7 linked regions of the Coturnix japonica genome follow. The protein of the gene in region 2 interacts with the protein of the main gene of each other region in a pairwise test. Links are inferred from orthologs where the notes say so. Each region holds a gene or a part of one and is shown on either strand. Other genes may lie near its edges. The genes, in order: TRIM54, PSMA1, TRIM23, RAD54B, CCNH, VCP and MTUS2.

Region 1 (4,003 bases), on a different chromosome or scaffold from region 2:
GGCCCTGGGGTCTGATAGTGGCCCAGGGGATCTCCATGGCAGCTGGGCCCTGTGGTCTCAGAGCAGCCCCATGGGTCTCATGGCAATCCCAAGCTCTTAGGGCATATTGGGGGTCTCGGGGAAGCCTCGGGGGTCTCTGGGAAGCCTCAGGCTGTGACATCCCATCCCGCAGGCCCTGGCGCTGTGCTGTGGTTTGCTGACCTGCTGCTGCTGTTTTTGCTGCTGCTTCTTCTGCTGCGGGAAGTGCTGCCCACCCCGCGAGGACGAGTCCTATAAGTACGTCGACCCCAAGGACCTGGAGGCGGACGATGGTGGCGGTGAGTTGGGGTCCAAAATGGTGACCCCCCCCACGATGCTCCCGGCTCACAGAGACCTGCAGGGGGGGCTGCACCGGGCTCGGGGGCTGGTGGGACACGTGGGTTGGGGGCTCTCTCGGTTTCCTTAACAGAGGAACAGAGACATGAGGGCCGTGCTGGTGCCAGGGGCAGCCCCGGATCGCTGCCAGGACCCCAGGACTCCCTCCTGGTTCCACTGACCCACACATTTTCTTTCCAGACCCACAGGTCCCGGTGGAAGCGCAGCCCCCCGCAAGCAACGCCCAGCCCCTGCCTGCTGCCGGAGCCAGGAGCGAGGCATAGGGCCACCTATGTGCCGGAGGGGGGTGGGGGGTAAAGCCTCCTCCGGGACCACCGCCGCTTCCCAAGACCCCATCGTGGGGTGGGGAGGGGGGTGTACAATCTCAGGTGAAACCGTCCTACAGCGCTGTGACTGAGACCGGTAGCACTGTAACCCCGGGGCCGGACCCCCCTGACGGGAGCTGGGTGCCAAACGCTGCTCTGGGGCTGGTATGGGGGGGGAGGAGGAGGGGTCGGAGAGGGGCCTCCCGTCGCGCCCCACTCTGCCTCGCCGTGGGGCCGCACCGCGCTCGTTATGGGGCTGGGACCCTTCAGGCACTTTCCGTGGGTTTGTATATGTTATATGGGCACCATTAAAGGATGATGGGGGGGAGCTCGGCGGTGTCGCTCTCTCGTCTCGGAGCGGCGGCTGTGGAGCCGGGCTGGGGGGGGGCAGCGCCGTGCCGCTCCCGGGGGGCGTCGGGACGGAGTGACCCCGGCGGTGGGACGGCCGCCCGCCGTGACTCAGTGTCACCCGACGCCGCCGACAGCTGCGCGGCCCCGACGGGGCGGGGGCGGCTAAAATTAGCGCTGCGGGGCCGGAGCGGGGCAGTGAGGGGCCGGAGCGGTACCGGAGAGGTACCGGGACCGCGGCGATGAACTTCGCCGTGGGGCTGAAGCCGCTGCTGGCGGAAGCGCGAAGCATGGAGAGCCTGGAGAAGCAGCTACTGTGCCCCATCTGCCTGGAGATGTTCAGCAAGCCTGTGGTCATCCTGCCCTGCCAGCATAACCTCTGCCGCAAGTGTGCCAACGACATCTTCCAGGTGCGGGGCGCAGGGACCGGGCTGTGCCCGGGGTTGGGGGCTCCGTACACGGGAGGAGGGGGGATCTCTGTCTCGGAGCGGTTCGCTAACCCCTCCTTCCCCCCCTGCCCTGCTCTCTCCTTTCCCCCCTGCCCCCCCAGGCCTCCAACCCGCTGTGGCAGTCCCGGGGTTCCGGCGCGGGGCCGTCCGGGGGCCGGTTCCGCTGCCCTACGTGTCGCCATGAGGTCCTGCTGGACCGGCACGGTGTGTACGGGCTGCAGAGGAACCTGCTGGTGGAGAACATCATCGACATCTACAAGCAGGAGTCGGCGCGGTGCGGGGCGGGACACGCGTGGGAGGGAGCCCGTGGGGATGGGGGGGGGGTGATTGGGGCTAAAGGGGCTCAAGGGCACCGTGGGGTGAGGTGGGGCGGGGGATGCCGTGGCTTGTGTGGTATGGAGGGCTGTGCAGGGGACACGAGGGGGAATGAGCCTGGGTGGGGGGGTATTGGGGCTAAACTTGTGGGGCTGGGGGTGCAGTGAGGCGGGGGATGCTACGGGGCAGAGGTGTGCCGTGCCGTGGGGCCGTGCCGTGGGGCCGTGCCGTGTGCCGTGCCGTGGGGCCGTGCCGTGGGGCCGTGCCGTGGGGCCGTGCCGTGGGGCCGTGCCGTGGGGCCGTGCCGTGGGGCCGTGCCGTGGGGCGCAGCGCCCTCTCCCTCCCGTCGCAGCCCCCTGCACGCCAAGGCGGAGCAGCAGCTGATGTGCAAGGATCATGAGGATGAGAGGATCAACATCTACTGCGTCACCTGCGAGGTCCCCACCTGCTCCATGTGCAAGGTCTTCGGTGCTCACAAGGACTGCGAAGTCGCCCCTCTGCAGAGCATCTTCCAGGGCCAGAAGGTGGGTGACCCCCAGAGCCGGGGGGGGGGTCAATGGAGCGGGCGCGGTGGGAGGGGTTTCCCGGTGCGACCCCCGACGCCGCTCCGCCCCCCAGAGCGAGCTGAACAACTGCATTTCCATGCTAGTAGCGGGGAACGACCGCATCCAGACCATCATTTCCCAGCTGGAAGATTCCTGCCGCAGCACTGAGGTGGGGCTGCCCTGTGTGTGCCTTCCCCCCCACACCCCCCCCCCAGGCCCCGCGTGTGGGGTCTGCGTGGTTCGGGACCCCCACCCGGTGTATTGTGCCCACATGGTGGGATGCTCCTGGGAGGGAAATCCCCACTGCAGCCATGGAACGCGGGTGTCCCCAGGGCACAGTGACACAGGGGTGTCCTGTGGGGCCGGGCTGGGAGCGTGGCAGCCCCCTGAGCCCCCGGGGGGGGATCCTACAGGAGAACGGCCGGCGGCAGAAGCAGCACGTGGGGCTGCGCTTCGACTCGCTCTGCAGCATCCTGGAGGAGCGCAAGAAGGAGCTGCTGCAGAGCATCGCCCGCGAGCAGGAGGGGAAGGTGCAGCGCGTGCGCGGCCTCATCCGACAGTACGGGGACCACCTGGAGGCCTCCTCCAAGCTGGTGGAGACGGCCATCCAGGCCATGGAGGAACCTCAGATGGCCGTGTACCTGCAGGTGCCTGGGGGGGGCTGTGTGCGGGGCGCCCTGCGGCTTGGTGCGCTGCTCCTGGGATGCTGACGGCACTCTGCTTTCCCCCACAGCACTCCAAGGAGCTCCTGAAGAAGTGAGTGGGGTAGGGTGAGATGGGATGGGATGGGATGGGATGGGATGGGATGGGATGGGATGGGATGGGATGGGATGGGATGGGGAGGGGGATGAGATGAGGATGGCATGGGGGGGTGGGTGGGCAGGGCTGATGCTGCTTGCTGTACCCCCAGGATCACAGACATGTCCAAGGTGTCGATGAGCAGCCGCCCTGAGCCCGGCTATGAGAGCATGGACCACTTCTCCATCAATGTGGACCATGTGGCTGAGATGCTGCGCACCATCGACTTCCAGCCAGGTGCCAGCATGGGGCGGGCGCTGCCTTGGGGAGGGGACTGCAGCAGGGATGTCCTCACACTGAGATGTGCCTCTGCCCCACAGAAGCGCTGGGTGAGGATGATGGAGATGGACCCACAGACAGCAGTGAAGGTGCAGGGGATGAGGAGAGCCTGGAGGCACCTGAGGCTGCTGAAGGTGAGAGTGTGTTGTGCTGTGCCGTGCTATGCTGTGCCGCAGTCACCACGGTGCTGCCGTGGCTGCGGCGTGGCCATGTACGGTGCATGGTCTCACCATGTGTCCCTCTCTCCACCTGTCCAATGCTTTTTCTCTACAGATGTGGGGCCAAGGCAGAAGCCATTGAGCTCTCCCCATGGTGAGATGCTCTGTGGGGATGAGCAGGGTGTAGGGATGGGATGGGGATGGGATAGAGATGGAGTGGCAGGGGATGGGATGAGGATGGGTGGGGATGGGGTGAGGATGAATGGGGATGAGGATGGGTGGGGAGGGGGGGAGTGAGGATGGGGATATGACAGGGATGGGATGGGGATGGGGTAGCAGGAGATGGGGTGAGGATGAGTGGGGAGGGAGGAAGTGAGGATGGGGATAGGATAGGGATGGGGTGGCAGGGGATGGGGTGAGGATGAGGAGAG
Region 2 (3,200 bases):
CTGCGTTTAGTAAGACAAGAAAATGTTGAGGGCTGAGTTTGGCATAAGTGTAAATCTGCATGAAGAGGAAAACCATAGAGAAAATATTACAGATCTTCATGTCTAACATCAGCATGTTTATTAGATCTAATCAAAAGAGAAGCTGTGCTCAGAAAAGCAAAGTGAAAAGTAACAAACCTCTGTTCCATTTAAAGAATAGGAAGATTGTTTGTGTGTCAGAGCAGGTATGGTATGACATGGCAAATATTTAGGTGGTGAATTAATATGAAACAACAACGTGAAAGGGGAAAATAGCTTGATTATTGCTGCACTGAAGACAATACAGGTGCTTTCAACCTCAAATGTAGGGAAAAGCTGGTTCCTGATGATGTACTTTTTTTAGCAGCTGTGTCTTCAGTCTCACAAATACCAAAGGAGAATACATGAAAGTCAAGCTGTGCAATTTAATTTTCTGGTTCTCAGCCGAGAATGGAAAAAAGGGAAAATGAGTCTGGGGATAAGTGCCGTATTTCATAGGTACCTTTCTGGCTTCATTTTTAAGGTAATCTAAACGAGCTAGTTAAACATGGACTGCGTGCCCTAAGAGAGACTCTTCCTGCTGAACAGGATCTGACCACCAAGGTAAATGCTAGTTTTTCTTAATGAGAAATTTCACTGCCATTGTTCTCAGTAATGACTGCAGCAAAGCTGCTGTAAAGTATGGCTGGCACTGAAACCTGGGAGCTAAAAACTTTCTAGATAGCAACAAATGAAATGAAGATGATAGTGATTTACATAGTGCTTCCTTTACTATCTGAGATTTATTTTTCTTTATGGGAGAGATACCTTATTAGATAAGGGATTGTTTCCCTTTCTGCTTCATTATATTTTAAACTTGAATCTGTGTTTAAAGTGCATTGTGAACAACTGGAATTGTCAGCTTTGCATTGTAAGCACAGTCACTAATTGGGGTGGTAAGGGAATGTAATACACAAGCTGTTTGAGTATCCAGCATCTGATCATGAGTTGCAGAAACCCTAGACAGGAAATGAAGTGAGCAACTGTTGAGCAAGAAGCTTTTAAGCAGCTTTGTTACCATATTCTGGTGTTCTCTTTGTGGCTGGTCTCGCCCTTATCTATGTTTGATCTAAATTTTTCATTCTTAGCCTGCCTTGCTGTTTTCTAGAACTCTCACAATAACAACAATGCAAAGTCTGATGAAAATCAGTTTTGAAAAGTCAGGTATTTGTTACTAAAAAGAAGAAGGGGGGGGAAGGAAGGGGAGGAGGGAAAGGAAGCAAAAACCCTTGAATGGTTTTCCTGTTAAGATTTTTGAAACGTGCTACCTTTTGTAGGGAATAAATGTCCCTCCCTTTCCTTCTTGAGAACAATCTACTAAAGGGAGTTAGTCAGAATTGCCTTTCTTCCTTAAGCGGGCACAATAGCACAGGGACCCTCTTCTGCAGTGGGATGCTTTTGTCTGTTTGACAAGTGAAAGTGATTTTGCAGAGAAATGCTTCTCACTTCTGTCAAAACTTTGCTGAACAGAATGTTTCCATTGGGATTGTTGGCAAAGACATGGAGTTCACCATTTATGACGATGATGATGTAGCACCATTCCTAGAAGGCCTTGAGGAGAGACCACAGAGAAAGGTATGTGTTAAATAGAAGCGGGCTTTATTGAAAGACAGCACTGTACAATCACAGAATTGTAGGGGTTGGAAGGGACCTCTAGAGATCATCGAGTCCAACCCCCCTGCCAAAGCAGGCTCCCTACACCATGTCACACAGGTAGGCGTCCAGGCGGGTCTTGAATATCTCCAGAGAAGGAGATTCCACCACCTCCCTGGGCAGCCTGTTCCAGTGCTCCGTCACCCTCACTGTAAAGAAGTTCTTCCACACATTTGTGCTGAACTTCCTACGCTGTACTTTCATCCCATTACCCCTAGTCCTGTCCCCACGCTCTACTGAAAAGAGACCAGCCTCACCACTATGGCCCCCACACCTCAGGTATTTATAAACCTGGATCAAATCCCCTCTCAGCCTAACAGAACCATTTCCCTAAGTCTCTCCTCATAGGGGAGATGCTCCAGGCCCTTCACCATCTTAGTGGCCCTCCGCTGGATTCTTTCCAAGAGATCCTTGTCTTTTTTGTACTGGAGATGTATTGTTTTTGTTTGGCATTTAATTCTTCTAGTAAACTATCATTTTTAGGGATGTGATTTTTTAAAGCTAGAAGTTCCTACATGAAAATTGGATACACCACCGTCCCCTTAGCTGGAGACTGATGGACTTGTTGAAGTTAGTTTAGGCTGAATTAGTGGCAAGCCCTTCCTGCCACTGTCAGGCCCTTTTCCTCATCTGTGGTAGTGTTTTGCACTTTCTTTAACAGCATGTTATTGTGCACGTGGCAGAGTGCACCCTCAGGTCATCTAATTAACAGCGTTGTCCTTTGTGTTGACTGTGGATAATCCCATAACACATCTTTTCCCTCTCTTTCAGCCTGCTTTGCCTGCTGACGAGCCTGCGGAGAAGGCAGAAGAGCCCATGGAGCACTAGTTGGTGGGCGGGTTCCTCTGTGCTGCCATCCGTGTTGCTGCACTGGGGCTTTTATCCACTGGTGGTAACTGTATCCTCACCTGTATGTCTCTTATACTGACACGTTCTGAGGATTGCTTTTAAAAACGAAATAAACCAACTCACCTATCCTTAAGGAGCTCAGCAGTGCTGTGTGGGTTTGTTTTCTTTTGTCAATGAAGGGGTTGTCATTTTCTAACTAGCAGAAGATGCAGTTTTTGATGGACGCCTGCTGTGTTTAACATGTAAGGACAAGTGGGAGTCGATGACCTTTGGGAACCTGGGATCTGGGATGACCTGGGAACTGGGATCGCGGGGTGTTTCAGTGACCGCCTGGGTGTGACACTACAGCCGGAACTCCCGGCTCTGCTGCTCCTTCCTCATGGCGCTCCGCCCCTGTCGGCCACGCGGCAGAGCTGTGAGTGGCTCCGCCTCTCGTTCTTCTGTACGGAGGAGGCGCGTCCCACCGCGGCCGCCGTAGCGCCGAGGTGCCGGGAGGGAGAGGCTCCACGTCAGCCATCGCCGAAGCGGGAGCGAAGCGCCGCAGGGCAGAGCACAGCGGGCCCGGCCCCGACACACCACGTCCGACCCCAGCGGGCTGCTGCCGGCAGCACCGCAGCCTCACGGTGGGTGCGCGGCTCCGG
Region 3 (4,210 bases), on a different chromosome or scaffold from region 2:
CAAATTCCTTAATCATGTCATTGTCAATATTTTGTATAAAATAGGGAAAATGTAAAGATATTCAGATATCCTTCTGATTTCTATTTGCAAAATATACAGCCTGGGCAGTGTATCAAATTCAATACAAGCCCAAGGATCCTACTGATTTCTTGCAAGCAAACTGTCATGCCATACAACTTGTTCCTTTGTATAAGTTACTAACAAAATGTGCTGGTAGTAGCAGCTGACAGTATTTCCTGCACTCATGTTTTGGCTTAGACACTGTCTGTGCACATGCATGAAAAAGTGGTTGCTGATATGTGAATTACGGTTAATAGATCTGACTATAAGATGCTGAAAACCCTCCCAAAAAACACTGTGAAGAAAATAAACAAACAGAATATGGAGTCTAACATCATCTATGCACCTCCACTGCTTTATGTAGCTGAGCCATCTCACTTAAAATACACACGCAGATGAGGCTTCAGCTGTTCCCTACTCCACCTTAATAGCGATGCTTATTTCCAACAAGCACTGTTCAAGAGGAAGGTAGATTTACTTCCACTGACTGCAATCAGGGGCAGCTACATTCAGGGTTTTCAGTGCTTCAGTTCCTAACTCGATGGCACCAAAGTGCCTGTTGGCACAACCAGCTTCTTTATAGAAATCTGACCATTATTTTTGTTGCTATCAGCTCTAGCTCTGTGACCTCATGAGATCTACCAATTTTTTTCTCTCAATCAAGAATCTGAATCAAGAATACAAGCCGGCGGCTGCTCACTGAGGGTAAAAGCCATAAAAGGAAGAAAAATCAGGAAACTATAATGTTAAAACATGAAAAAAGAAAAATAAAATAAAAAAAAAAAAAGAAAAAAGTAAAAAAAAAAAGAAGTTAGAAGTGCTGAAGCCTGTGAAGATCCCGGTTCGCCAGGCCCGTGGCGCAGCCCTCCTCCTCCCACCCGTCGCTCCCGAGCCGTCCTGTGCCTCCTGTGCCTCAGGGGCAGCAGCTCGGCCCCGGGCCGCTCCCAGGCTCAGGGTCGGTACCTTTCAGTGCCAGCAGATGCTCCTGCTTGGGCTGGTTCACGTCCATGGTGCAGCCTGAGGCCCGAGCGCCGCAACCAGCCGAGAAGCGCGTAACCGCAGCGCGGGCAGAGCGAGCACCGCTGAACCCGGAAACAGCTGCTCCACACACGCCCCGTCATACACCGCCACGGCGCCACAAACTACAACCCCCACAGGGCCTTGCGCCCGCTCAGCCCACATCCCCCGTCCCGAGGAAGGCGGGTCCCGCGGGCAGCCCCGTGGCGGTGCATTCTGGGAGCTGTAGTTCTGGAGGGTGCCCAGGCGGCGGCCTCGCGGAGCACGACGGGAACTGCAGTTCCGCTCTCGGAGGAGGCGCAGGAGAGCGCATGCGCACACTGAGGAAGGGGTGCTGTCTGCGCGGCCCGCTGTGCTCCGCCCCGTCCAAGATGGCGGCCCTGGCTGTAAACAAGGCTGCGGCTGCGGCCGGGCCGGACGGCGGCCGCGGAGCTGGGAACAGCTGGGGCCCGACCGGCGCCGCCGTGAAGGTGAGGCGGGGCCGCTCGCTGCTCTCGAGCCGGTGCTCTGCTGTGCTGTGCTGTGGCGGAGGTGCCTGCTGGGCCCGGGAGGAGGCGTACCGAGCGCTCTGCAGGGTTTCCTCAGGCGGTGTGTGCCGCTGCGGTAGGGCCTCGCTGCTCCTCCATCGCACCGCGGGGCTCCGGTGAACGGCTGCGGGGCGGGAGGCGCTCGGGGAGGCCCCGGGTGGGGGCTGTGTCCCTGCTCCTCGCGGGAGGGCTGCTCCGTGCTGCTCCGTGCTGCTTCCGTTGTGTTTTTGTCTTGTTTCGTTGTCTTGTTTCCCCCCCCCCCCAGCCTGGAGACAGATGGTATCTTTTCTAAAATCGTAGGTTCTCGAGTGCGGAGTCTGTGAAGATGTGTTCTCTTTGCAAGGCGATAAGGTTCCTCGGCTGCTTCTGTGTGGCCATACTGTGTGCCATGACTGCCTGACCCGGCTTCCCCTTCACGGCAGGGCTGTCCGCTGTCCTTTTGATCGGCAAGTTACTGAATTGGGTAAGAGAGCTTAGGCCTGAATTTGTTAAGACCGAACAGAATGTTTAAAAGACCAGCAAGCCTTAACAGGAAATGTATAAAGGCTGATTTGAGTTTGTAGGCTGGCAGTGTGTGGTATCAGAATTTTTACTGTTGATAGTTTTGATTTGGCTGCAAATGGATGAGAAGGGTTTAGTACAGTAAAATGCATGGCTAGATAATGTGTGTGGATAGTACACAAAACCAAATAAGATGAATGTACTAGTTGTATTTGTTTTGCAGCATTCCTCCTGTACTCTGAAATGCTTTTTTTTTTTTTTTTTTTTTTTCCACTGAGAGGAGTGAGAGAGATCTCATTAAGATTAGGTAATAAGTTTTTATCTTCTCCTTGAATATAGGCTTGCAAACACCTTGTTTGTGAGCCTGTGTTTACAAAGTGACTGGTCTGTTTTAAATCCCTGTTTAATGATTCTTGAGAGGATATCAGTTTCCTGTTGTCCTAAACATTAAGTAGACCATACAGTTACGTAAGTTGTTTCTCTGTCAAACAAATTTGCCTGGATTCACAGTGGAATGATAACAAACCTGTTTGTAAAGTATATGGTAATTCTAAGGGTGATAGAACTTAAATTGGCAGGCTGTCTACAGGGATTTTATTACTTTAGAAATGTGTCTCAAAAGATCAGATATGGTGTTTATTCCATAGTGAGAGTTTATTTCAGGCATATGCTAGTGATTGTGCATTCAACATAGAGTTAAAGAAAGGACAAGTTACTAGAAGAATTTGTGTCAAGGTTAACTTGTGAACAGAGCTGTCTGCAGTAGCTTTGAATAGCACAGTGGATAAAAATATTAGGATGGCGGAGAATCCATGGAGCAGGAGATATCAAATGTAGTAATGCATGAAATAAATGTACAATTATCAAATCAGCATGAATACGTATTTACTTTGAAGTGATAGTCTGCTAGAGTTAAAGAAATATTAAATGGAAACAAACTCAGAAGAAACATCAGCATGATGTGAAAAAGTTTTGTTTGTGGTAGGAGAGGTGTGGATGGTATGTGATTGAAAGAGGATTGAAAGAAGTTTATTTTTTTATGTGACTGTACATCTATATGGGGTTTATGTATGTATGCTTTAATAGGGAGCGTGTGTTAGTCTTGCTGTTGTGAAACTTCAGCGTGAGCCAGCTGCTTGTATCTTGTAAATGGGGAGCAGAGCTTTTTATTGTAAGGGGGCGTTGTCACTTTGTGGCTCTTACTGTGTGATTTCCGCCTGACAATTGGAAGCATCCTACAGTAATTTTTTATTTTAGTTTCAGTTTTAACCAAAAATTAAGTTTCTTCGTCTTACGTAACAACTAGTGGTTTCTGATGGAACAATGTGAAGTGTTAAATTTGCAAGGCTTCTATAGAAAGGTAGTGGGAAGAAAAGCTGAAGCTTTCATTTCTAGGATAGTAGGCTTGCAGCTTATTGGATGGTTCTGGAAAGAAGAATGATATGTTGTGATCAGCTGTTGCTCAAAAAAAAAAAAAAAAAATTAGCAAAACAACCTGAGAGTCAAAGCACTTCTGTGAATGAAAATGTTTTGCCTGATGGTTTGAAGCAGAAGAGGGTCATGGCAACATTTCATCTAATCTGTTCTGTAAGTCCTCGGGGAATAGTAGAATCATAGAATCACCAAGGTTGGAAAAGACCTAAAAGGTCATCCAGTCCAATTGTTCACCCATTACCAATAGCTCCCACTAAACCATGTCCCTCAACACAACATCCAGTCTCCCAGGGTCTCCCCCAGGGTCCCAGGGTCGGTGACTCCACAACCTCCCTGGGCAGCCCATTCCAGTGTCTGACCACCCTTTCTGAGAAGCAATACTTAAGTCCAGCTTGAATCTCCCCTGCTGCAGCTTGAAATCATTCCCTCTAATCCTATCGCTAATGACATGAGAGGCCGACCCCCAGCTCACTACAACCTCCCTTCAGGAAGTTATAGAGAGCAATAAGGTCTCCCCTGAGCCTCCTCCAGGCTGAACATTCCCAGCTCCTTCAGCCTCTCCTCATACGGCCCCATTGTGCTCCGGACCCCTCACCAGCTTGGTTGCCCAGCTCTGAACATGTTCCAGGGCCTCAATGTCTTTCTTGCAGTGAGGTGCCCAAAACTGGACG
Region 4 (3,500 bases), on a different chromosome or scaffold from region 2:
GAATAACAGAGAAGAGGCTTTTTAGATATTTTAGAGTTATCTGTACCAAAGTTGACCACAGGATGAGCAAAGATTAGAATTTTTTTTTGCAGTGAGGGAGATGGAAAGAAAGCTTAATGTTTCTTACATATAAAGCAGATGCATGGGGGAGTCTGGAGTAGGCTGTGTAACATTCTTCGCAGAAGCACCAAATGGTGCATAGTCCAAGGAGACGATCTGGAAATGGGGCTGCACTAATTCAGCAGAGATGCTAAAGGAGGCAGGAGTTGATTTTGGTTGCTCTTGTACTGCATTGGAGAAGGTGTGAGAATTAAGAAGGTAGACAGGTAAGTTTCCTGTAGACGTTCCAGTCAGTACTATGGGAACTGGGAATGTTTGAGCTTGGATCTGTACTTTACAGCCAATCAAGCAACTAAAACCATTATCTTTGTTAGAAAGACAAAGAAGAGCAGCATTTTCCAGCCAAAGCCAACTGTGTAGCAATTTTTAGTCTTGCAGTTTTAGCAGCAGCTGCTGCTGTAAGACACAGTTTGGGTTGTTATCAGAGTTAAAAATAAGACTTGCAAACTGTAGGCTGCAGTCAGTTTGAGGTAGTATTTTTTACTGAAAGAATAGCAAGAATTAGCATTGCTAACTAAGCTGAGCATATTTAGTAGGGAGTTTGGATTGGACAGTGTTTCTACAAGATATAATTTGATTAATTTGGAGGCCGACTTGGGTACTCTGCGCTTTTAATTACAATCATGACATTGTGAACCTTGTTAGCACCACACACTTTTAAATCAGAGACTTAGAAGTTAATTCAAATTCAGTTATAGAGAAGCAATATAAGTATAGACTTGCTTGGGTATGTAAAAGGCAGAGAGAAAGAGAGCAATGCCTGGAATGCATCAGCCACCACCCTGTTGTGTCTTCTTGAATTAGCAGAAAACATAGTAGGAAAACAGATATTCTGATTCCCAGTGCTACAATTTTTTGTGTTTATTTGTGCCAGGGAGCACAGCAGTATCAACGTCACTAATGCTGATCTGCTCTAAGAAAAACATAAATGCACCAATTGTAACCGATTGTACACCAAGTGTAACTTTAAAATTTCTTCAATTATTCTGAAGGTACTCTGAGTGAGGGGTAGTGGTGTTTATCTCCAAAACTGCATTTAAAACTAGCAGTTTTACAGTGAATGTGAATGAGCTTCCAGAATTACTATTTTTAAGTGGAAAAAAAAGGATTTAAAGGAAGGTTTTGGTTTATTTTCTACTTAGGCACACCAGGGCAGGATTTAAGAAGGAATATGGAAACCTAAAAACAGCTTTGGCTTTAGATTGTTTTTGAGGCCAGACAGCAGAACTTCTTGCTCTTCTTCTCTGCAAGTGTCCTAAATTCTTAATAGTATATTACTAAGAATCTAGGAAACCCTCTCTTTTAATTTACTGTGTGTTATGGAAATAATTATTTCAGGCAGCTGCATAAACATTTGAGCTTTGTGGATTCACCTTTTGTCTTTCTTAGGTTCACATCTACCCAAAAAGCCCATCCTGACTTAGAACTAAGCTTTTCAGTCTGGAATTCAAATGATCTTGCACAGAGATAGAACTATTGACAGTTTTATTAATCCTTCGTGCAGATAAATACTGATGTTAAGGAAGTAGTATTTGCTGTGTTGTTCTAATTCCTAAATTTTTATCTTCTTTTAGGTACTGGATATAAATCTAAAGAGTTAGACAGTCTTGAGGAAGGTCAAACGCTGATGATTGGAGGAAAAGAAATTGAAGTGATGGGTGTAATTTCAGCAGATGACTTCAGCAGTGGCAGGTGTTTTCAGACTGGAATAGCGACTCATGCAACAGTCCCAACTGCTTTATCTCAAACTACTGTGAAACAATTCTGTAAGCCAATCAAAAGAGCCTGCCAACCCAGTACTAAAGAGAATATTCTCCTCAATTCTCAGAGCTGCAAACCTCGTCACAATCCAAATGAAACAAGTAAGGTTCAAAGTTTTAAGCTTATTCAAGCACCCTTTGGCTCTCAAGAAAGTTAAGTGTCTAACCAGAATTTTCACATTCCTTACTGTATTACTGAAGTATTTCTGAAATACAGTGGCGGTTTTTCTGTCAACAAAATATTAGGATTTTATCGTGTGTTTCTAACAAGTAGAATGCTCTGCACTGCATCACTTTCGCTCACAGATGTTACAGATGGCTGTAGAAGCAAGTGGTTTCTGAGTGGTTTCTTCTGTAGAAGTGGTTTCTGAGAGTTCTGCCAAGAAAAATGTGTATGTCATTCAGAGAAACAATCTGACATATACTAAAAGTTCTAGTTGAGTTCCAGCTTCCCAGTGGGGTCAGTAATAGAGCAGTTCAGCCAAATGTGGATAATTGCTCCTGATGCTGCTTGATCCGTAACAGCCAATGAGTGTAACTTTACTGCCCCAAACTCAACAAGGTATGTTTTGGAATGAAAGTTTTTTTATGTAATACTTGAACTACCCTGTACTGAAGAATCATGAGAATTCTTAAATGACATAGGTTACTCTGAAAGTAATGCCTCCTACTTATTTCTGTGAAAACTACAACAGATATGAAGCACATGGTAACACTATCAGACAGAGCAAATTATGAGCTTCAGAATACTATTTTTCAATGGAGTCACCACCATTGGCCACGCATTTTTGCCAGAAATGAATTGTAGCCTGCATGCCACACTTATAAATTGGCTGTCATATGGCTGTTGTATGGCTGTCCAGAACATGACTTGTCTTTCACACTGCTGTTGTCAGTGTTCAGATGTACCACTCACCACTTCACTGTGCTAACACCCACTGTTAGCACTGTTAGCACATCCACAAACATTCAACAAGTGTCAATGAAGGCCTGTGGCTACAATTCAGTGGCACACCTTTGCTTCATATGCACTTCCGTGCCAGATGCTGTTTTGTCATACTGCCCCTCTGCTGCCATCTGTTGCATGGCAACAACATGTGATGAAATATTGGTGGGAAGCTTCAGTCTCTGCTGCTATACCACCAACATCTGCCTCTGACATCATAGGCCAACATAATAAAATAGGAGACGTTACTTTCAGAGCAGGCCTTGTAAATTCTGCTCATGGCTTTATCTTTCAGATGAAAAAGAAAGATGATTTTAAAGAAATATTAAAAAGGAGAGTTCTTCTACATTATTTCTATAGTTATAGCTCTGTCCAGCTTTTTACCTCATATCTTGACAAAGCTGCTACTTAACAACTGTGTAAATAAACAATGATATGTTGATTATATAGTAATTAGCGATATCATTGGCACTTCCATAAGTGCAAACTCATTAGCACTGTCTTCTAGTTTGAATTCAGCTTGATTATGTTTGGTCTAATGAGGCACCTTCATGACGATTCTGCATTAGCTTTCTAATCTAAAATCTAGCAAAGAGCTGATATATTCTGTACTCAAATGAACTTCTTTGTTGTTATGCACTGCTCTGTCAAAAACTAAGTCTTATTCTAGTACT
Region 5 (4,042 bases), on a different chromosome or scaffold from region 2:
CATTTGAGGTTAGGCTTAAAAGGAAATTAACTAACTTCAGACTCAGTGGAAATATGGGAAAAATGAATTCTGTCTCTTTGAAATCACTATTGAATTATCACATTGAATTAAATTCAGTTTATATCTCCTTTAAAGAATCAGCATAATTCTTTTACATTCAGAGTCCACTGCATAGAACTTCAAATTTTTTTGTCATTAAAAACAAACAAACAAACAAAAAACAACAGCAAATACAAGGTTAATTTGCATCAACTTTAACAGAAGAATGAGAAAACTGAAGATAAATGGCATAGCCCTTGTAAGATGGTAGATCAAGAAAAGTGGTCATAGTTCCTAATTCCAGGTAAACTTAATTGCATTACAGGAAATACTTCTGTCATGAAAACTGGCAAAAAAAATCTCTTCTAGAGGTGGCATACATTTAGTTATGGCTTGAACATGGAAATAACATCCTCTTCTCTGGCTTGTAGATGACACAGTCTTTTTCCTACGTGATTGTAATAAGGGGCTTCCTTACTGTTGGCCTTCTTTGTTGCAAGCACACACTGCCAGATCATTTTTTCATCAGCCAGTACGCCCAAGTCCTTTTCCATTGGAATCAGGGGAGAACCATACGACTGGCAAAGTGGAAGGACTAGCTAACATGACAAGTTGTTAAATCACCTTCATAGGGAAATTAATGGAGAATATACATCAATCTTGCAGGGTACAATTTAGCAACAATGACACAAGTCCTGGCATTATATAGGAGAACAAGGTGGAAGAGGATCATTTATTCTGAAATATTTAATTGAAAAATACCGAAGATTGATTTCATTTGGCATAACGCAAATGATTCCTCACTCTTTCCCCCCCATACACATATCACCATTTGATGCTGATAGATTACATGGTTTCATAGCTACACTGATGAAAATGAAACTGAAATGATCATTCCAGCATACTTCAGAGCAGTGTTAAGGAGCTGCATTAGGAGGGGGTTGTCAGCGCTGAGCTCTGCCCTGTGTGACAGCGACAGGGCCAGAGGGAACGGTGAGAGAGGGCAGCTGGGGGTCAGGGACAGGCTTTGTGGTTATTAATAACAAATACATGAAAATGTAACAATGCCCGTGTATTTCTCACTCGCACCGCTCCCATTCCCTTCTCCCATCTGACGGCTGGACTGCGTGCCCTCATCCCCACACACAGCTACTACCACAGCCCTGCCCCGCCGCCATGTTTCCCCGCCCCCTTTGCTGCCGCGCTGGGCGTTGCGCTGTTCCGCCCCACAGCTCCAAGGGCTCCGCGGTGCCGGTTGCGCGCTGCCTGTCGCGCCGTGGCAGCCGGCTCGCGGCGGGGCAGCCATGTTCTACAGCAGCACGCAGCGGCGATTCTGGACCTTCCGCAGTGAGGAGGAGCTGGCGAGGAGCCGGGCCGAAGCCAACCGCAAATTTCGTAGCAAAGCTGTTGCCGGCGGGAAGGTGCGGAGCGGGGACGAGGGGGGAGCGGGCTGGACCGGCTCTGCGGGGCCTCAGGGGGAGAGGGGCGGCCCCAGGCCGGGTATCTTCAGGTCGGCGTCTTTCCCCCAGGTGCAGCAGGGTGAGTCCTTCCTGCTGGAGGCCCACGAGGAGCTGGCGATATGCAAGTACTACGAGAAGAGGCTGCTGGATTTTTGTGCCGTCTTCAAGCCTGCCATGCCGCGGTCTGTAGTGGTAAGCAGAAGCGTTCTGTCGCGAGGCGACCCCTGCTTCCTCACGGCTCTGCCGACCGGGAAAAGCGTGGTTCCCTCGGTGGTCCTGTAGGAGTTGAGCTCCGTAGGCCTGCTGGGTCCCTTCCAGCTTGGGGTGGGTGTTTGTAGAATCACATAGTGGTTTGGTTTGAAAGGACTTTCAAAGCCCACCCATTTCAATCCCTCTGCTGTGGGCAGGGCTGTCCCCCCAGCTCAGGCTGCCCAAGACCCCACCCAGCCTGGCCCTCAGCAGTGCCAGTGCCTCACCATTCACAGTTAAAAATTTCCCCGACTTCTAATTAAAATCTCACTCCTTCCAGTTTAAAACGACTCCCCCCTGCTCTGTCACTATTGGGCCATGTAAAAAGTTGGTTCTCCTGCTAGTGAGCTCCCTTCGGGTACTGGAATGGCACACTGGGGTCTCCCTGGAGCATTCTCCAGGCTGAGCGAGCCCAGCTTCAATCTGCCATTGTAGGAGAGATGTGTTCTGATCATCTCTATGCTCTCCCTCTGGACCCACACATCTTGAGTGTGTGACCCCAGTCCTGGGCTCTCACAAGGGCAGAGTTGACTGTGACAGGTATGTCTCTTTTGCTGCAGCTCTGGATACTGTTGGTCTTACAGGCTGAAAGTGCGTTGTGCTGGCTCAGTACCATTTAACTTCATTCTTTCCTCTTCCTTAGGCAGAGAGTAGAAACTAACCTAGAACTGAATTTATGATATAGTTTTTTCTTTGCGCAATGATGTGCATTTGAGTACAAAGCAAGCTATCTCAAGAGCCTGTATGGGCAATAATCTACAGAGCATATAAAAATGAGTTGTTCAGTGACTTTGCATGAGTGCATTGAGAGGGAGGGAAGAAGGAGGGCTTAGAGCTGAAGCAGGGAATTGAATTGTGCTTCACTTGTCAGCTTGTTCAGAAGCATCCCCCCAGAAGTCCCTCTTTTTGGCTGCTGTGGTGAATAGTAAAAAGGAGTGTCTTGTCTGTATGTGTTTTGGCCATGCACAGTCGGCTGCTGGTGCTATGAAACCCATCCTTATATTTGGGAATTGGCCCCTGTAAGGTGTGTGTGCGGAGTCAAGCTTCACTAATAAGTGGCTGGAAATGTGTGCTGATGGAGTTCACGTTAACTTGGAAACTTGGCAATAGTGGACTGAAGTATTTCATTTTAATATGAGATGAGATTGTCACGAAGGTATTCTAGACTATTCACATGCTGTCTTCTTAAAAATACATATAAAAATGACATAAAACTGCTATGGTATAAAGTTTTTGCGTGCATAAATGAATTAGACTTTAAATGACTTTAAGTGACGTGTTTGTGCATCTGGTGTGCTAATAGTACACATTCTGACTTTCTCTGTTTCATGATTTTTTTTTTAAATTATTGTTTCTTAATCCATTTTTACTTCAACGTTTAACTCTTTCCTTCTCTTTTTGAAAATCAAGGGAACGGCTTGCATGTATTTCAAACGTTTTTATCTCAATAACTCAGTGATGGAGTACCATCCTCGGATAATAATGTGAGTTTTCAACACATCATGAGTTTCTGTACCTATCAGAATAATAGAAGTACAACCTTATTTGCTAAGACACTAAATAAATAGGAAAGGAAATTGGAGACCTTAAATGCAAGTAGAGTGTGGTCAGTTTCCATTTCCACTTGGAAAAGTTTATTCTATTCTGAATATAGTACTTTAAAAATTTTTAAATAATAATAATAATAAATGTGCACAGAACTTTTGATAAGAGGATGGATGCTGCATGTATTAATTGTTTGCTTTTTTTTTTCTTTCTTTCTCCCAAACTACTCAAGGCTAACGTGTGCGTTTTTAGCCTGCAAAGTAGATGAGTTTAACGTGTCCAGTGCTCAGTTTGTTGGTAACCTTCGAGAAAGCCCTGTTGGACAAGAAAAAGCTCTTGAACAGATACTGGAATATGAACTACTGCTTATTCAGCAGTTGAACTTCCATCTTATTGTACACAATCCATACAGGCCATTTGAGGGAATTTTAATTGATTTGAAGGTAATGCTGTTTTATCTGCTATGTACTTCATATGTTAATGCAGTATAAATATGGATTTTATGTTTTTGTTTCTGCACTCATAAAGATGTAGATTCTAAAGTGATAGGCAGATGATTTCTGAAAGGAGGTGTTTTTTTGTTGTGGTCTTTAAATCTTATTTTTGGGATGATATGGCTTGTTACCTTTCTGCTTTACAGAAAATTGTTAAGTTTTGTGTGTTGAGCTCACAGACTGTAACAGGAATAGCTACTTAACTTTCCTAAATATTTCCTAGACTCGGTACCCATTGATAGAAAATCCTGAAGT
Region 6 (3,242 bases), on a different chromosome or scaffold from region 2:
TCTTTGATGAGCTGGACTCCATTGCAAAGGCTCGAGGTGGGAATATTGGAGATGGTGGTGGTGCTGCAGATCGTGTTATCAACCAGATCCTGACAGAGATGGATGGCATGTCCACCAAGAAGAACGTCTTCATCATTGGTGCTACCAACAGGCCAGACATCATTGACCCAGCCATCTTGCGCCCTGGCCGCCTGGATCAACTCATCTACATCCCTCTGCCTGATGAGAAGTCCCGGGTTGCTATTCTTAAAGCCAACCTGAGGAAATCACCAGTTGCTAAGGTAGGATCTGTGCTGATGCTGTATCTGATTTGATTTTGCTATGTGCTGCACATATTTCCAATGATTTGGGGGCAAACAGAGGGTTGGTGGCTGCTACACACAGAGCTTGGAAACCTTCCATTCCTGAAAGATGGAAATGAAGAGGTAGGGATAGGCTTGAGATCTAAAACTAAGTACCAGTGCAGCGAGATAGCAGTGTGTACGCACAGCAGGTCTTTATCACATAGTAGAGTTCTGCCCACGGTGCAGGAATGGGAAATGCCTGTTATGGCAAGATGGAAAGGATTCTTGTACTCTGAAAAAGTAAATGTAGAAAACGGGGGTGGGAAATGAAAATTGAAGAGGAACCACTACAGTTAATTGCTGAACTCTTTCATAGACAAAGTTATATCCCTTGCCTAGGGAGCAGGCAATAATGAACTGATAGAACGTATTAGAGAAAAGCAGATGCAAAGTGAGCACACAAACGTCCTTAGGCCAAGCTTAGCTTTCTGAGTACTGTTGGGAAGGAAAGCTTCAAAGGAGGTTCCAGTGCCACTGTGTCAGTTGAAGGGAGGAGGATGTTCCTCTTTATCTCCCTTTGCCCCATCTCCATTTCCAGTCTGAAACGGTTCCATTGATTTCTTTTGCTGAGATCTGAACCAATTGTGGCTGAAATCCTCAAGTCAGCCTACCTCTTACTGAAGGTGGAACAGAGGGGGGACATTTGTAGCCACGTATCAGGTTCTTGCTGGGTGTGGGGGGAAGCACGGCCTGCCCTACTGTGTAGCATACTTCTACCAGGAACAGGAGCCTTAACAGCTTGCCTTCTTCCTACTGGCCAAAGTTGAGGTAGCGCCTTGTTACTGTAAGATCTCAAGGCACCTCTTTGTCATTTGAGAGTACAAAGTGTAAAAGCTTTTCTTGTGTTTTGTTTTTGCCAGGATGTTGACCTGGATTTCCTAGCCAAGATGACCAATGGCTTTTCGGGGGCTGACCTGACAGAAATCTGCCAGCGTGCCTGTAAACTGGCCATCCGAGAGTCCATTGAGAGTGAGATCAGACGAGAACGCGAGAGGCAGACCAACCCTTCTGCCATGGTGAGTGGGGCACTCTGAGCTTTCCCTGCCTACGAGATAGGCAGCCCACCTCTGCCTGTGGGTGAGGGATGATGTGTTTCTCTCAGTAATCCTCAGATGAGGACGAGTAGGCTGTAGGCTCTTGGCACAGAGTGCTGAGCTGGAGCACTTTGTTCTCTTCTTGTGGGAGGGTGAGGGCCTCCTATGGTGCCTCATCACTGGCATTGCTCAGCAGGCCCCTGCAGCAGCTGTGAGTCAGTGTGCTGCAGCATCCCTCTCTAGCCCCTGCCTCAGTGGGTATTGATGCATCCTGACCCCGAGGGAGGTGTGGGCAGGTGTTGAGCTGCACGTGGCTCATCTCAGCTCTCTGTCCTGCTGCAGGAAGTGGAGGAGGACGACCCGGTTCCTGAGATCCGCAGGGATCACTTTGAGGAGGCCATGCGCTTTGCTCGCCGCTCTGTCAGCGACAACGACATCAGGAAATACGAGATGTTTGCACAGACTCTACAGCAGAGCCGCGGCTTTGGCAGCTTCAGGTAACTGAGGGCAGTGGGGAGGGCAGTGTGACGTGGTGAGCCCCAGGAGCAGAGCGCCGAGTGAGGGCAGGATTGGTGTATTCTGAAAACAATCCCTCTTCCACTGCTTTTTCCTGTTCTCCCCAGCACATACAGACAGCTGAGCCTGTGGTGGGTACAAGCTGCACTGCAGGCCAGGTGCAGGTGCTCTGTTAGTGCTCCTGAAGCCCATCAACCCTTTTTCCTTTAAAGCAAGCAACATCTGGCCCCACCATGAGCCTTATCGTGACATGCCATAAGCTTCACATTTCTCCTGATTTTCCTTCTTGGCATCAGGGTGTTGATGTGGAGGGAGGGGATTGTGCTGAGCTGTGAGGATGCTTCTGAACTGCATCTCTTCCCTTCTGCCCTGCTGTGTGCAGGTTCCCATCAGGCAACCAGGGAGGCGCTGGGCCGAGTCAAGGAACAGGAGGTGGCAGCGGGGGCAACGTGTACAGTGAAGACAACGACGATGATCTCTATGGTTAACTCACTGTCCTCAGTGGACCAAACTCCAGATCAGGCCACGTTGTACAGGGAAAATCCAACGTTCAATGGACTCTTGGCTTCTTCATTCCTCAGTCAGAACAGTGTAGGTGCACGCCAGACTTTGTAAAGGGGATGTTTTCTGCAAACACGAATCCAGACCGATGTTGAGTTGTGAAGCAGACAGTGAATTAACAAGAAGGGGATCCGAATTAATTTCTGAGAAATTTCTGTTCTAGTTTATGTGGCAGAATCAGCAGCTTTAGCAAAGGGTGCAACGCTAGCCTGTATTAAAAAAAAAAACACAAAAAACCCTACAAAAATAATAGTAAAAAAAAAGAATAAAATCCCACAAAACTCTAACTGGGCTCTTGCAATTCCTTGATTGTGTTTAGGCTGTCAGAAGCACAGAGTAGCTGTGTGCTCTCTCCGGGGCTTGCAGGATTGGGGTTTTTGCAGAGATGAGTAAATAGGGATTGTGTGCATAGGAATGAGCAATGAGGGTGCCCATAGGTTTGCTGGGCAGTTCCATGGGGATTTGGCTGTAAAGACATTTAGAAGGGCACCATCAGATGACCTGGACTTAAAGGGAAGGAAATGAGGGGTGAGAGGAATCGCAGTGTGGCAGGAAGGATGGGGCTAGCCAGGGGAAAAGGGGAGACTGGAAAAAGGAGCCAAAATTGAGAGCAGTGCTTAAATAGCACAACCAGCAGCTGGTGGCTGCAGGAGGCGGCGGTGGGAGCCCCTGGGAGGCAGAGCCTGCTCGGGTGTTCTGTCCTAGTTCAGAGACCCGTCCCAGCGCTGTGCCTGTGTGTCCTTGCACCACCTGGGTTGGATGCCATCAGGGCAGCACTGCCAGCTCG
Region 7 (3,500 bases), on a different chromosome or scaffold from region 2:
TCTCATATTGGCTGCCAATAAATATAACAAATGTATTTATGCCAAGTACTTCATTATGAGGAGCAGGGAAAATCCCTAAATATAGAACGCAGGCAATTCTAATAAACTGGGTCAGCTTAATGAAACCTCCAGTCACCTCATTTTCATCTTTATTGACAGCATGCTACAGGTAACACAGATTTATGCACACATAACAATCACAAGGATAAAACATTTTCTCAAGCTGAAAGAAGTAAGAAGGATTTACCCAACTGTCTCTCAGGAAATAGATTTGGTTCTTAGAGATCTGAGCTCACAAAGAGACGTAAACTTGTTAATAAGACACGTTCCTTTTTCTTTTGTATTAAACAATGAATTCCTCAAACGCAGGATTTAACTGGTTCCCATAGAGTCATATGCAACTATTGATCATAAGGCCACTACAGAGCTGCTGAAACAGATTTGGATTAGTACAGCCCATCCACTAACAGGAAGCTCAGCTCAGAACTGTACTGTGCATTCCCCACTCCTCCCATTTAATGAACTTGTCAGAAAGAGCTGGAAAGTCTGCAAGCAAACACATGAACCATTTGGGAATTTCCACAGCCTGGGTAACTCTGAGCAGATACGGCAGCCCTGCCAGGAGGTGAGGCTGCTTAACACCTTCCTTCATGTTGCTTTGTTTATAACACTGTCAGACATTAAAGCCTCAGAGACAGCCCTCGAGCCTTCCTCAGACAGGTCATGCCCAAGACAACACCTCCCTGTTACTTCCAGCTCACAGCACCAAAGGGGGCATTTAATTGTGCCTACTGCTTAGCAAGCTGATGGCTGCTTAGAGATTACAGGTCTGATTGATAGCAGCTATTAACAGCCTCATCATAGCTATGTAAAGAAAAATGCTGATCAAAGCCCAAATTGGATATGTGAAATGGGGCGGTATGTGAATATTTCCCTCACAAAGTTGATGTAGAGTAGTCATCCTGCCCCAGCATATCCTTGTCTACAAAAGCTTTGAGTCTTCAACACTGCCAGTCTGCCAGGGTGATTCTGATATACCTCAACCCATTCCAATTGCTTTCCTTTCACTTGAAAGACCCACTCAGTCATATTTACAGGGGGATAGGATGCTTTGGTCCCTCTCCAGAAAATAAATGTTATCCTGCTAACTCTACTGTAGAGCAAACCACACTGCATACCTGCCATAACCTCAGTACTTTTCATGTACATACTCCTCCACAGTTAGCAGAAATTGGTCCTTAGTTTCCAGCTGTGTTAGCTAATGTTGCCTGATTTTCCAAATAGCAACAGTATGGACTGTAGAAAACTATGGTCTAGAGAATCAGAGAATCATAGAATGGCCAAGGTTGAAAAGGACCACAGTGATCATCCCGTTTCAACCCCCCTGCTATGTGCAGGGTCACCAACCACCAGACGAGGCTGCCCAGAGCCACATCCAGCCTGGCCTTGAATGCCTGCAGGGATGGGGCACCCACAACCTCGTTGGGCAACCTCTTCCAGTGTGTCACCAACCTCTGTGTGAAAAACTCCCCCTAATATCTAACCTAAACCCCCCCCGTCTCAGTTTAAAACCAATCCCCCTTGTCCTGTCACTATCCACCCTCATAGACAGCCATTCCCCAATCCTGTTTATGTGCTCCCTTCAACTACTGAAAGGCCACAATGAGGTCCCCCTGGAGCCTTCTCTTCTCCAAGCTAATGAAGGTCATGTCACCCCATAAAAAGCCAGACAGCTGCACAGCCTGCATTACACTGGTTTTAACTTCAGTTAAATGGTAATAATCCAGCAATTTTCTCTCAACTTGCAGGGAGATTGTGAAGATACCCTAGTAATGGCTGGCACAGACAAGCTCACAGTGACTTTATTAATCTGTCCTCTGGATGAAAAACATAAGGCATGGACTATGGAACCTGAATGGGAAAGGCAGCAAGCACTTTGCTTGAGATGTGATAATACTCTTACCAAAATCTGTACTCTAAGATCACCTGAACAGTTGTCTGTTAACATGCAAGAAGGGCCAACCAACAGTCACACATGAGATTTTAATGTGGGTATTTGCTGGCTTCTGATTGTCAGCTCTGTCACCAAATGTGTTATTTCAAGGCTGTTCCATGGATAAATACTGTATATAGAATGAGGTAGGTATATAAAATGAATAATTGTATTTATTTTTTTTAATTTTAGAATTGGTTAAAATTAAATACAGTTGTGGGATCTTTGATATTTACATAGAAAGCTTTTCTGTTGAGCTAGCTACCATAGGTCCAAAGCAGTAGACTCAAGGGCACATCACAGACCTAAATATAACCCCCTCTTCCCTGTCCTTTTCACCACCTACCAAGCAACATCAACATTGAACAACTGTGCCCAACTCCCAGCAGGGACTAAGGGAGCCTGCACTCCTGCCTGGCTTACCAAAGTGGAAACACAACCAGATATAAGGTCCCAGAAGTGGGCAGTGGGACTTCCATTACCTTTTGGCTGCTCAGGAAGACTTTCCCAGGAAAGGTGTTTTCTCATTTAAGATGGTAGGCAATACAGAACACTGCTTAAAATGAGTCAAAAGGAAATCTTTTCCTGCATGATGTATATAATCTAATGAAATCTGACAGTTCCTGTTTTTCTGTATAGCTGAACAGAAGCGAATGCATATGGACCGCTAGCGCTTGGACTGCAAAAACCAGCCAAGATTCCCATTAAGGAGGAAAAGTTTCTGCAGGCAAATCACATTAATTTCCAAAAGATGTTCTTTGGAAAAAAAACAGAAGATCCATTTAAGGATAAATTCAACCAGCACACCTTTTCCTATCTAAACATCTCTATTTATACACTAGCAGGTGACTTGTATGCTGGGAAATGCTGGAGGAACACGGTGACAACTTCCAGTCACAGATCAGACACCACATCAAGGTCAGTGCCAGAAAAGGTTACGTTTATTCCTACTGATCATGTATTGCTTTGCTTTAGGATTTACTTCTTCGTGGTTTGAGAACTAACTTCTGGCAGCAACAAGTAAGCAAACACTCACAACCCAGCACACAAAAGTGTCAAAGCCACCTGCTTACCTCCTGCAAAAACTTCTCACCCATTGGGCCAAAGTGATGACCTGGAGGCCTAATTCCTGACACTACCAGCCCAGAACTGAAGAGTCTTGGCTTCTGGAGGTCAGGTTTAAATTTGTCATACAGGATGCTGGGGGCCTTCCCCTCCCCTCCACCAGATGCCTTCTGCTCTGTGGAGATGGGCACTGTGCATGCTGCGGTACCGTATGGCAGCCCTGCTGGTGCAAATGAAGGGTCAAGCTGCTCTATTGAACGAGGGTTTCTTCTGATGTATGTGATGATTTTAGGTCTCACGGGTTTAGGCTTGGGTATGGCAGGTTTCACCTCCATGCTTTCTTCCAGTTTCTCACTGCAGTCACTGTCAGCATCCACCTTATCTGTGAGGGAGCCCTTGGAGTGAACCAGGATAGGTTTGGGGATTGCGCTGCTGCTGGCAG

The links.
Region 1: the proteins of PSMA1 (region 2) and TRIM54 interact in binary tests that used the Homo sapiens proteins (3 or more experiments, as listed by UniProt). The link is inferred for Coturnix japonica from reciprocal best matches to the Homo sapiens genes PSMA1 and TRIM54.
Region 3: the proteins of PSMA1 (region 2) and TRIM23 interact in binary tests that used the Homo sapiens proteins (3 or more experiments, as listed by UniProt). The link is inferred for Coturnix japonica from reciprocal best matches to the Homo sapiens genes PSMA1 and TRIM23.
Region 4: the proteins of PSMA1 (region 2) and RAD54B interact in a two-hybrid assay, tested with the Homo sapiens proteins (2 studies listed by BioGRID and IntAct). The two-hybrid records come from large-scale screens. The link is inferred for Coturnix japonica from reciprocal best matches to the Homo sapiens genes PSMA1 and RAD54B.
Region 5: the proteins of PSMA1 (region 2) and CCNH interact in binary tests that used the Homo sapiens proteins (3 or more experiments, as listed by UniProt). The two-hybrid records come from large-scale screens. The link is inferred for Coturnix japonica from reciprocal best matches to the Homo sapiens genes PSMA1 and CCNH.
Region 6: the proteins of PSMA1 (region 2) and VCP interact in binary tests that used the Homo sapiens proteins (3 or more experiments, as listed by UniProt). The two-hybrid records come from large-scale screens. The link is inferred for Coturnix japonica from reciprocal best matches to the Homo sapiens genes PSMA1 and VCP.
Region 7: the proteins of PSMA1 (region 2) and MTUS2 interact in binary tests that used the Homo sapiens proteins (3 or more experiments, as listed by UniProt). The two-hybrid records come from large-scale screens. The link is inferred for Coturnix japonica from reciprocal best matches to the Homo sapiens genes PSMA1 and MTUS2.

What each region holds. Positions count from the first base shown.
Region 1 is NC_029518.1:95,417,684-95,421,686, reverse strand, and holds the start of TRIM54 (tripartite motif-containing protein 54), read left to right. Parts: upstream 1-1,203; 5' UTR 1,204-1,270; coding exon 1,271-1,438; intron 1,439-1,578; coding exon 1,579-1,751; intron 1,752-2,144; coding exon 2,145-2,316; intron 2,317-2,410; coding exon 2,411-2,506; intron 2,507-2,750; coding exon 2,751-2,984; intron 2,985-3,070; coding exon 3,071-3,093; intron 3,094-3,247; coding exon 3,248-3,372; intron 3,373-3,455; coding exon 3,456-3,548; intron 3,549-3,687; coding exon 3,688-3,726; intron 3,727-4,003. Other genes in the region: DNAJC5G (dnaJ homolog subfamily C member 5G), read left to right, coding at 173-317, 556-638. UniProt on the Homo sapiens protein: May bind and stabilize microtubules during myotubes formation.
Region 2 is NC_029520.1:14,580,474-14,583,673, reverse strand, and holds the end of PSMA1 (proteasome subunit alpha type-1), read left to right. Parts: intron 1-541; coding exon 542-621; intron 622-1,527; coding exon 1,528-1,632; intron 1,633-2,481; coding exon 2,482-2,538; 3' UTR 2,539-2,700; downstream 2,701-3,200. UniProt on the Homo sapiens protein: Component of the 20S core proteasome complex involved in the proteolytic degradation of most intracellular proteins. This complex plays numerous essential roles within the cell by associating with different regulatory particles.
Region 3 is NC_029547.1:14,354,269-14,358,478, forward strand, and holds the start of TRIM23 (E3 ubiquitin-protein ligase TRIM23), read left to right. Parts: upstream 1-1,410; 5' UTR 1,411-1,448; coding exon 1,449-1,547; intron 1,548-1,904; coding exon 1,905-2,067; intron 2,068-4,210. Other genes in the region: TRAPPC13 (trafficking protein particle complex subunit 13), read right to left, coding at 1,024-1,069.
Region 4 is NC_029517.1:114,217,223-114,220,722, reverse strand, and holds part of RAD54B (DNA repair and recombination protein RAD54B), read left to right. Parts: intron 1-1,694; coding exon 1,695-1,982; intron 1,983-3,500. UniProt on the Homo sapiens protein: Involved in DNA repair and mitotic recombination. May play an active role in recombination processes in concert with other members of the RAD52 epistasis group.
Region 5 is NC_029547.1:54,306,395-54,310,436, forward strand, and holds the start of CCNH (cyclin-H), read left to right. Parts: upstream 1-1,242; 5' UTR 1,243-1,343; coding exon 1,344-1,460; intron 1,461-1,568; coding exon 1,569-1,691; intron 1,692-3,158; coding exon 3,159-3,232; intron 3,233-3,525; coding exon 3,526-3,736; intron 3,737-4,010; coding exon 4,011-4,042. UniProt on the Homo sapiens protein: Regulates CDK7, the catalytic subunit of the CDK-activating kinase (CAK) enzymatic complex. CAK activates the cyclin-associated kinases CDK1, CDK2, CDK4 and CDK6 by threonine phosphorylation.
Region 6 is NC_029547.1:7,814,908-7,818,149, reverse strand, and holds the end of VCP (transitional endoplasmic reticulum ATPase), read left to right. Parts: coding exon 1-281; intron 282-1,204; coding exon 1,205-1,360; intron 1,361-1,720; coding exon 1,721-1,875; intron 1,876-2,276; coding exon 2,277-2,382; 3' UTR 2,383-2,742; downstream 2,743-3,242. UniProt on the Homo sapiens protein: Necessary for the fragmentation of Golgi stacks during mitosis and for their reassembly after mitosis. Involved in the formation of the transitional endoplasmic reticulum (tER).
Region 7 is NC_029516.1:157,076,712-157,080,211, forward strand, and holds part of MTUS2 (microtubule-associated tumor suppressor candidate 2), read right to left. Parts: coding exon 3,067-3,500; intron 1-3,066. UniProt on the Homo sapiens protein: Binds microtubules. Together with MAPRE1 may target the microtubule depolymerase KIF2C to the plus-end of microtubules. May regulate the dynamics of microtubules at their growing distal tip.